Sus scrofa: one gene and its partner. The protein of the gene in region 1 purifies or fractionates together with the protein of each later gene. This does not show direct contact. Links are inferred from orthologs where the notes say so. Each region holds a gene or a part of one and is shown on either strand. Other genes may lie near its edges.

Evidence for each region.
Region 2: the proteins of SNAP25 (region 1) and STX12 purify together in Homo sapiens (co-immunoprecipitation; 3 studies listed by BioGRID and IntAct, with this or other methods). This does not show direct contact. The link is inferred for Sus scrofa from reciprocal best matches to the Homo sapiens genes SNAP25 and STX12.

Annotation. Positions count from the first base shown.
Region 1 is NC_010459.5:19,094,599-19,098,949, reverse strand, and holds the start of SNAP25 (synaptosomal-associated protein 25), read right to left. Parts: upstream 2,836-4,351; 5' UTR 2,656-2,835; intron 1-2,655.
Region 2 is NC_010448.4:84,917,288-84,921,658, reverse strand, and holds the start of STX12 (syntaxin-12), read right to left. Parts: upstream 2,833-4,371; 5' UTR 2,703-2,832; coding exon 2,585-2,702; intron 1-2,584. UniProt on the Homo sapiens protein: SNARE promoting fusion of transport vesicles with target membranes. Together with SNARE STX6, promotes movement of vesicles from endosomes to the cell membrane, and may therefore function in the endocytic recycling pathway.

The DNA of each region.
Region 1 (4,351 bases):
GTAACAGATTAATTCTGCAGTGATGTGGTACATCACAGAAAATCCAGCTCAAAAACTGGTTCGAATGAAAAGGGGGAATTTATTTGTTTCTGTTACTGAAGGGTATTTGGCTTCAGGCATAGCTTTAATTAGGTTTCTATCCTTTTTCCTCTATCAATAATCTCTCTTCTCCTCTGTGTGGCCTTAGTATACAGGCAGGATTTCTTCACGTGGTGATGAAAACGGCTGCTGGGAGCCCAGCACTCCCGTATTTTCCACTGAAAAACTGTAGCACAAAAAGACCTCTCTTTTCCCAGCAGTTTCAGCAAAAGTCTTGAGGCGGATTCTCATTGGCCTCCTTGGGTCACGTACTGTGGCTGAAACTATTACTTTCTCCAGAGGGAATGGCATGTGCTAATTGGCCAAACTGATAACCTGCTAGCCCCCTGGAGAGGAATACAGTGGGAAGTGAGGGGGGTAGTGAACATCGCTCAATCACATGGATCCAGAGAAAGTGGGATTTCTAAGGGAACATCAGGCCCTGTTACTAGAAGGATGTGGGTAGGTGAACCCAGCAGTTATCGTCCCAAGAGTGGTTTTCAATCTCACTGTACATTACAGTCCCTGGGGTCTGGAGGGCAGGGGGTGGGGGTGGGGAGAAACTTTGGAAAACACCTCCAGAAATTGATTTATTCCATCTGAGGTGTCGCCTGGGCCTCAGTATGAGTTTAAGTTCTCCATGAGTAGCTGAGAGAAGGACTGCATTTGGGATATTAAAAGCTAATACAGCCTGATGCTGGGGAATGCCTTGAAGCCTGCAGGTCAAGCTAAAGGTGGGCAGCTCTCAGGGCAGAGTTCTTGACAGTGGAGAAAGGTGGAATCGGTATGGCATAGTCAAGTGGGAGTGGATTGGAGTAGGCAGACAGGAAGCTCTCCTTGCCCCCAATTTGAAGCATATTAGCAACCCCCTGCTGTGTCCCCAAGCTGCCAGCCCTGATGACAACTTTTAAAATTAGGTTTTGAGAAATGTTTCACTCCAAAAAGCCAAAGCATCCACTGTGACACCCTCAATTATAAAATGAAAGGGCTAAGGTCAGCTACCTTGTCAGAGGCCACCTCTCCCCAAGGTCAGAGGTAGGGGACCCTGGAGGGTCCCTGGCATCATTCAGCCTGGTGAGACCCCACTTGACTCCCAGGCCCCCATCAGAGGGAGGTGGAACTGCCATTCGCATCTTTGCTGCGGTGAAATGTTTTCTCCCAGCCAGTCGGAGGAGGCCAATTCTCCTCATCTTGCTAGGGAGGAAAAGTTCTGGCCAATCACAAGAAGCCAACTGGAGACTGCAAAAGTGGGGATGAGATGGCAAAATCTGTTTTTGGAGCTGCGAGAGACACACCTCTCCCTAGCAGAGCTGCCCCAGAAAGCTTGTCGTTAGGCAGCCTCTGGCAGCTGCTCCCCCACCCGGAATGGGTGGGGGTTTCAGAGGCTGCTGGCTGCCTGGTCTCTGTCTCCAGAATTCTACATCTTCAGAGTCTACCCCTTGAACAAAAACACGATGTGGGTTTTTTCCATGAACTTTCATTTTGGGGGGGAAATCAGGAGGGGAGAAAGCTCAGGGAGAGGTGGTGGGGTGCAGCAGGTAGGGTAAGGGACTGGAAATCCAAGCCCCAACACCTCTGTTCCTATCCTGTCTTCCTCGACTTGGGCACATGAGAATCCTTGAACCTCAATTTCCTCATCTGTAAAATGGGTTCCTAGATGTGCCTGAGAATCTTCCAGGCCCTGCAAATTCTCCAGTTATGATAAGGAAGGAAGGGGCCACCAGCCTGCTTTGCTTTGGGGGCAATTGTTGGTTGGGGCTGAGTAACTGAGCTTTTATGACCCCCACCCCATTTTTAAGAGTAAGAGACATCCCCCCTTTTCTCTTGGTCCTTTCCTTCCATCCTGATTACTATCACTGTCACTCTAGGAGCATAAACATTGGGGAGGATGCTCGAGGTGTGTGAGGGGTCGCCAAGCCCCCACACCTCCAAACGATGACTTTTAATTCCAGTTTTACCAAGAGAGATGGTCTGCGCTTCTGCAGATACAGAGACTCGAAGCCGCTTCCGTTTTTGCTCTTCTCTCCCGTCTCTCACCCCCCTCCCTCCGCCTTCCTTCCACTGCTGTTTACTGATCGCCCAAGTCGTGATGACGTGCCAGGCACGATGCCAAGTGAGAGGGCCCCCGAATGCATCAGGGGGTGGATTAGAAAGCTCTGCCCTGGCGGAGCCTCCCGGGGCAGACGTGGAAATAAACAAACAGTGACAGCATCGCGCCCCGAGGGCTCCCGCGGAAATGAGCATGGGCTGTTTGGAAAGCCCACACGACGACCCCCGACCCAGGAGAGGCCCGCCCGGCGCGCCTCGCCCCCGCTGCAGATGGCAGGGGGCGGGGGAGGCCTGGCGGCAGCCCCGCGGGTACCGCAGTGAGTCAGGAGCCCGCCTCCCATCCTGCGCGCACCAGCGAATCCCCGCCGCCCAGCTCAGCCCGGCCTGCGCAGCGCCTCCGCCCACCCCTCCTTGCCTCGCGTCTTCTGCTCGCGGGGGTGGGTGGGGATTGGGGGGAATCTGTCTCCCCGACCTTCCATCGCGGCCTGGAGCCGTGGCCACTGGAGAGAGGCCAAGGGGTGCGAATACCTGCCCTGCAGAAGGGAGGCGATGGCCGAGCTGCAGTGTTCCTTGGCATCTGGAACGTTGCCTGGGAAAAGGAAGGAAACAGAACCGGTGAAGTGACTCAGGATTCTTGGAGTGGCTAGGAGGCACGGGTGCAGAGGGCTGATTCCAGAAGGAGCGGTGGGAGGCAAGAGGCCTAATGGGTCTCTAAATCTCAGAGGGATCCTGCCCCAACCTTAGCTTGATTTTTTTTTTTTTTTTTTTTTTTTTGTAGAAGAGTAGAAATGCACTTAAAAAGTATATCTCTAAAAATACCAAACTGATGTTATTTGGGTGAATTCACACCAAGCAGATGACCCAGAAAAAGGAGTAAGATCCTGATGTCTTCAGCATGCGCAGAATAATCACTCTGCTGGGCTCAGGCCAAATGCCTTAAGCCCATTGGCCTTTCCGGATGACCTTTTGGGAAGGAAGGCTGGTGGCTGGATGGAAATGAAGCACAGCAAACGGGTTCCATTTATATCAGGAACCACCCAAAAGCGGCCATCTTCAAAAGGCCACTCTGAGCTCCAGGGGCTGCAGGGAGGTTACCAGTTCCCTTAGGAGCTTCTGGGGGCTGGGCTCTGTCCTTCCCCCATAGGCTAATGGCAGAGGGATAGCACTGCCCTGGGCCTCTGGGATGAAAGAGCTACCCCAGCCTAGCTGTGCCGCTACCAAGATGGGCTGTGATTTGTTCCACAAAGCCTGTGACTTGGCATCTCAGTGCATAGAGGGCCAGAGGGAAGCCATCTTTGTTTCTCTTGCCTGCTCCACTTTGCTTCCAGATGAGAAGACTGTCCTTCTTTAAAAAGCAGCCAAAGTCATGCTTCTAGAAATTAAGCCAGAGAGTACTGTCACCTGCTAATCCCAAGTCATTACAAAGCCTACAGGCCCTCCAAAATCGGCTCCTGTTACCATGCACCTCCTCCCTTTCCACTTTTCCCCCTCATTCTATCTGTTCCAGCCACCCTGGCCTCTTCCTTTTCCTTGAACACACCAGAGCACATCCCTACCTTTGTGCATGCTGTCCCTTCCACCTGGAACTCTCTTCCCCTAGACATTTATTTCACTCTGATCGAAAGACCACCCTATCCAAAATAGCATCCTGTCCACTGCACCTGTACTGTCTGTCTTCATAAACCTCCTTACTGTTTTCATGTCCTTATTACATGTTTATTTATCTGTTTATCATACATCTCCCCTAGAACATGAGTTCTCTGAGGGCAAGATCTTTGTCTGGTTGGTTATTCTACTAACAGTGCCTGGCACACTGTAGGTGCTCAAATAAATATTTGTGGGAAGAACAAGGTCAAGATTGGCCAAGGAATTTGCTCAGCTTCTCACATTTAGTGAACAGCTAGGAGCTGAGCCCCTTACCTCCTCCTGACCTAGAACTTTTCTAGTACTAGTCTCATGCTCAAGCTGGTATTTTAGAAATGATCTCAATGTGAAATCAGGCTGCACAATGGCTATTGAGTAAGCTGGACACCTTCTCAAGATGCTGTTTTTAAGGTTCCCCCGAAAGCCCAAGTGCCCCATCACTCTGGAATGTAAATATTTATAAAGGAGGTAAGTTCCAATAGATGTTGAGTGATTTATGATGCCGTGCTAACCTTTGGTCTTTCCCGACTTTTCTTCTTTCACCACCTTTGAAGCCTTGGCTGGAAGCCAAGGTTTAAAG
Region 2 (4,371 bases), on another chromosome or scaffold:
TCCTAACCCCTTAAAAAGAAGTAATATTGGTAATTGTTTCACGGGGTTGTTACAAAATTAGGTAAAATAATGCATGTAAAGCACTTTTTTTTTTTTCTTTTTATGGCCACACCTGCAGCATATGGAAGTTCCTGGGCCAGGGGTTGAACTAAGGCTGCAGCTGCAACCTATACCACAACCACGGCAACACTGGATCTGAGCTGCACGTAGGACCTAGACCACAGTTTGCAACAACACCAGATCGTTAGCCCACTGAGCCAGGCCAGGGATTGAACCTGAATCCTCACAGTGATGATATCAGGTCCTTAACCTGCTGAGCCACAGCAGAAACTCCTATAAAGCTTATATTACCTGGCATACAGTATGTACTCAAATGTCAGTTATTAATGTTATTAATAGTTGAATTCAATTATCCACTTGAGCCTGATGCCCACTTTTCTTGAGGCCCGCACCTGCAGCATATGGAAGATCCTGGGCTAAGGGCTGAACTGGAGCTACAGCTGCAGGCCTACACAACAGCCATAACACTACCAGATCCAAGCTACGTCTGTGACCTACACCAGAGTTCATGGCAACACCAGATCATTAACCCACTGAGCAAGGCCAGGGATCAAACGCACATCATCATGGATACTAGTTCGTTAACCACAGAGCCACAATGGGAACTCCCCTCATGCCTGCTTAATCAACAGATAAACTTTATCAATTCTATCACCAAAGATACCTCTCCTATCCTTTCCTTCCTTCTTTGCATTTTCAGTTCCTACCTGGTGTCCATGATTCCAGTCGCTCCCTTCCAACTCAATGTACATGTTTCTAAAGAATTAAATCCAAGCCCCCTTAGTTTAGCACTTACAGTCCTCCATGTTTGGGCCTCGACTTACCTTTCCAATCCTATTTTCCACTACTTTCTGGAATTCACCATTCTAGCCAAATTAAATCACTCTACTTTTCTATACACACCACACGCTTTCCCACTACTGCACCTTGTTCATTTTATTCTCTTCTTTAACTGCCAAAAGTTCAAATCCTTCCCACCATCTTTCCAAACCTAGCTCAAATGCCCAAACACCTCCCCCGGCCCCTCCCAAATGAAAAAGGTGTCTCTCTCCTGAATATCTATAATTTTATTACACTTCTTCTATAGTACTGATCTCTTTCAACTTTTTATTTTGGTTGTTATGTATGCCACGGATTCCCTGTTAAAAGAACCCATGCCAGTTCCTATACATACTACATGCCTGATACTCAAACAGAAGTAGAATGAACATTTCACAGATAGACATTAAAATGAGATTTGGCCTCAACAAGAAACTTTCAGCCCTGAACGAGAATTTTCTGATCTAATCTGGGCTACGGCTCCCTCACAAAAGGAAATTGGAACACAAAGTACTATACTTTCTAACCAGTGGTCATATTAATTTTTGTTTGAAATTTCTGCAGTTAATAGACCACATATTCTTCTTTCCACTTTCCAAGCATCCAGGCTCAAACGCTTTCCATCAGAAACTTTCCCTAGCTCAAAATTCTACATTATACATTTAAATTTAAAGCAAAGTGATAGATAGAACATAACTGTAATTCAGGGCCAGCTAGTTCTACTTATTAACAGAGGACAACCAAGCTCACAAAAACACAATAAAAAACAAGGATGATGATGATACCATTCTTTCCAAATAGTCGCTGCTGACCTCTTGTTTACAAGGTTCTGAGCTGATTTTCAGGCACAAGAAATAGCTTGTATTTGACTCATTCAACTGCAGTCTCATTCAGACCCTAATGTTGGATGGTGTGTAGTTTTAAGACAAGCAATGACATTCTGAAATCCACCACCAACTCTGCCATGTCTTACTTGCTAGCTGATGGAGACTAAGTCCCTTTGCCTGTCTCATGTTAGTTCAAAAGAGTAACTAAATGGGGAAGGAAAACAAAACCCTCATTGGCTTGAAATCCAAAAATATATGCATATCTTTTGCTACAAAGACAACGTAAGTTGAAATGTTTTCGGTGAAATCTCTTTATTAAAGCAGAATCTCACCCCTTAAAGTCATTGTGTCTGATTTCAAAATCCATTACAGAAAGAACTGGGTTAAAATCACCAAAACATATGCACTCTCCACTTCCCTTAATTGAAAGCTGCTGACGTCCAAGAAGCCAGAAGCTGAGCAGAAAGTAAAGTCTAAACCAGTAAACAACTCCAGACCCAGACCAAAGAGGAAAGAGAGGTGGGTGGAGGGAGGCAGATGACAGGAAAAACTCGGCTGACCACTGCACCACGTCGACTCACTTAGTACTCTGGAGAGGACACATATACACCCTCCCACCCCGGAGTTGTCAGGACTGTAGTCCTGGCCCCAACACCTTTAGGGCAAAACTCTTGAGAAGAAACTCGAGCTTCAGCTGGGGCTAGGGACTCTCAGGGAGCCTGGGCCTGGCAGACTCGAGGATGGCAGCCCGCCGCACCCAGAGCGGAGGGCCCGAGACGGCCTCGGCTGTGGCCTTGGCCGGGCTCCGCGTCCCGGTAGTCTCACCCAGGCCTGTCCCCAGGATGGTCCCCGCCCCCCAGCCCGGTACCCCGGCTCACTGGCTTGGCTGATCCGCTGGATGTTGCCACTGCACGTCTGGATGATGCTGTTGAAGTCCCGGAGCGGGGGCCCCGAGGCCCCCGGGTTCCGGTACATGTCTAGGGGACCGTAGGACATGACGAGGAGCCGAGACCGACTTGCCCTGCACCGCGCTCCTACCGGAAGCAGCCGCCAGACCCGACCCGCAGGCTGACAGGGAAACCGGGAAGAGAAAGGGCTGGGAAGGGGATGAAGCTGCGTGCGCACTAGCCCCGCCCCCTCGCGGCGCGCACGCGTCCGTCCCCGACCCGACCGGCCCCACAATGCGCAGGCGCTGTTGGAACTGGTGCCGAGATGGGTAGCTTGGAGACCTGACGCTCTGGGGCTTGGGGATGCAGGGCGGAGCGATGACATCATACCTTTGGGGCTCGGATTGGAGGATCTGGGGTGGCGGTGTTGTTTATCGCCAGGGCACGGTGACAAGAAGGCAAGAATTTTTCGATTAGCATAAAATTGTACCAGATGATCTCAGCCCTAACGTCCTATTCTGTTCTATTCTGAGACTTCAGGCCCAAATATGGGAGAATTTGATAACCTTGAAGCTCAGATGCGTAACCAAACTCCTGAAATCCCTCACTCTGCTTCCAGCCTCAAAGGCTTTGGTAGGATTTGTGGAGAACTTTTATGGTTTACAAATCGCTCTCATTCTACCACCCCTCTTGTAGTCTCGTAGTCTAAACAATAAAACGATAATAATAATGGTAAGATTTATTGAGCACATATTATGTGTGACCCCTCACTGCAATTCAGTTGTTCTCTCTCTCTTTTTTTTTTTTTTTTTTTTTGCCTTTTTTGCATTTTGAGTGAATGACCTCAATGTTCCCATAAAAGACTGCATTTTGTAAGCGTATGATAAATGGAAATACAGGGGTAGGATTTTGCTTTGGGAGGAGATCAAGATAGACGTGAAGGCGAACTGGCAGTGTTTGTTTCCTGTGTTCTCCACCGCACCTCACACCAAGTCTGCTTTACTATCTCTGGGAAATAGCCAAGGCAGGAAGCTGCTTGCCTGAGTTGGGGGGGACACCCCAAATGGGTGAATGAGCCTGCATTCAGCCTTAGAACTTTTGTAAGCAAGGCTATCTCTATTTTCTGTTAGAGCATTTGTAACAGAGGTTTTTTGTTTTGTTTTGTTTTGTTTTTTTCTTTTTAGAAAAGGACAGATGACATTTGACATTTAGGGGCTCTCATTCTGGTTATTAAAACCCTACCATTTCTTAGAATCCATAGTTTTATGTCATATAGCAAATCATGTAAATTTTACTTTTTTACCTATAAAATCTTCTTGAGAATGTTTTCATTAACATTTGACTCTATTTAAAGTGAAGTTTGGAGTTTCCGTGTGGCTCAGTGGTTAACGAATCCGACTAGGAACCATGAGGTTGCAGGTTCGATCCCTGGCCCCACTCAGTGGGTTAAGGATCTGGTGCTGCCGTGAGCTGTGGCGTAGGTCACAGGGTCTGCTCAGATCCTGCGTTGCTGTGGCTATGGCCGGCAGCTACAGCTCCAATTAGACCCCTAGGCTGGAAACCTCCAAATGCCACTGGTGTGGCCTTAGAAATGACCAAAAAAAAAAAAAAGATTTAAAAAAAGTGAAGTTCAGTAAATGTATTTTTCTCCGAGGATTGAAGACATGGTGGTGGTTGTTATTGTTGGTTTCTTTCTCCATCTCAAATAAAAGTGGTTTTCCATCTGTGTCTTGGCTATCTTGTGCTATCTCTCATAGCAATACGTTTGTGCCTTGCGT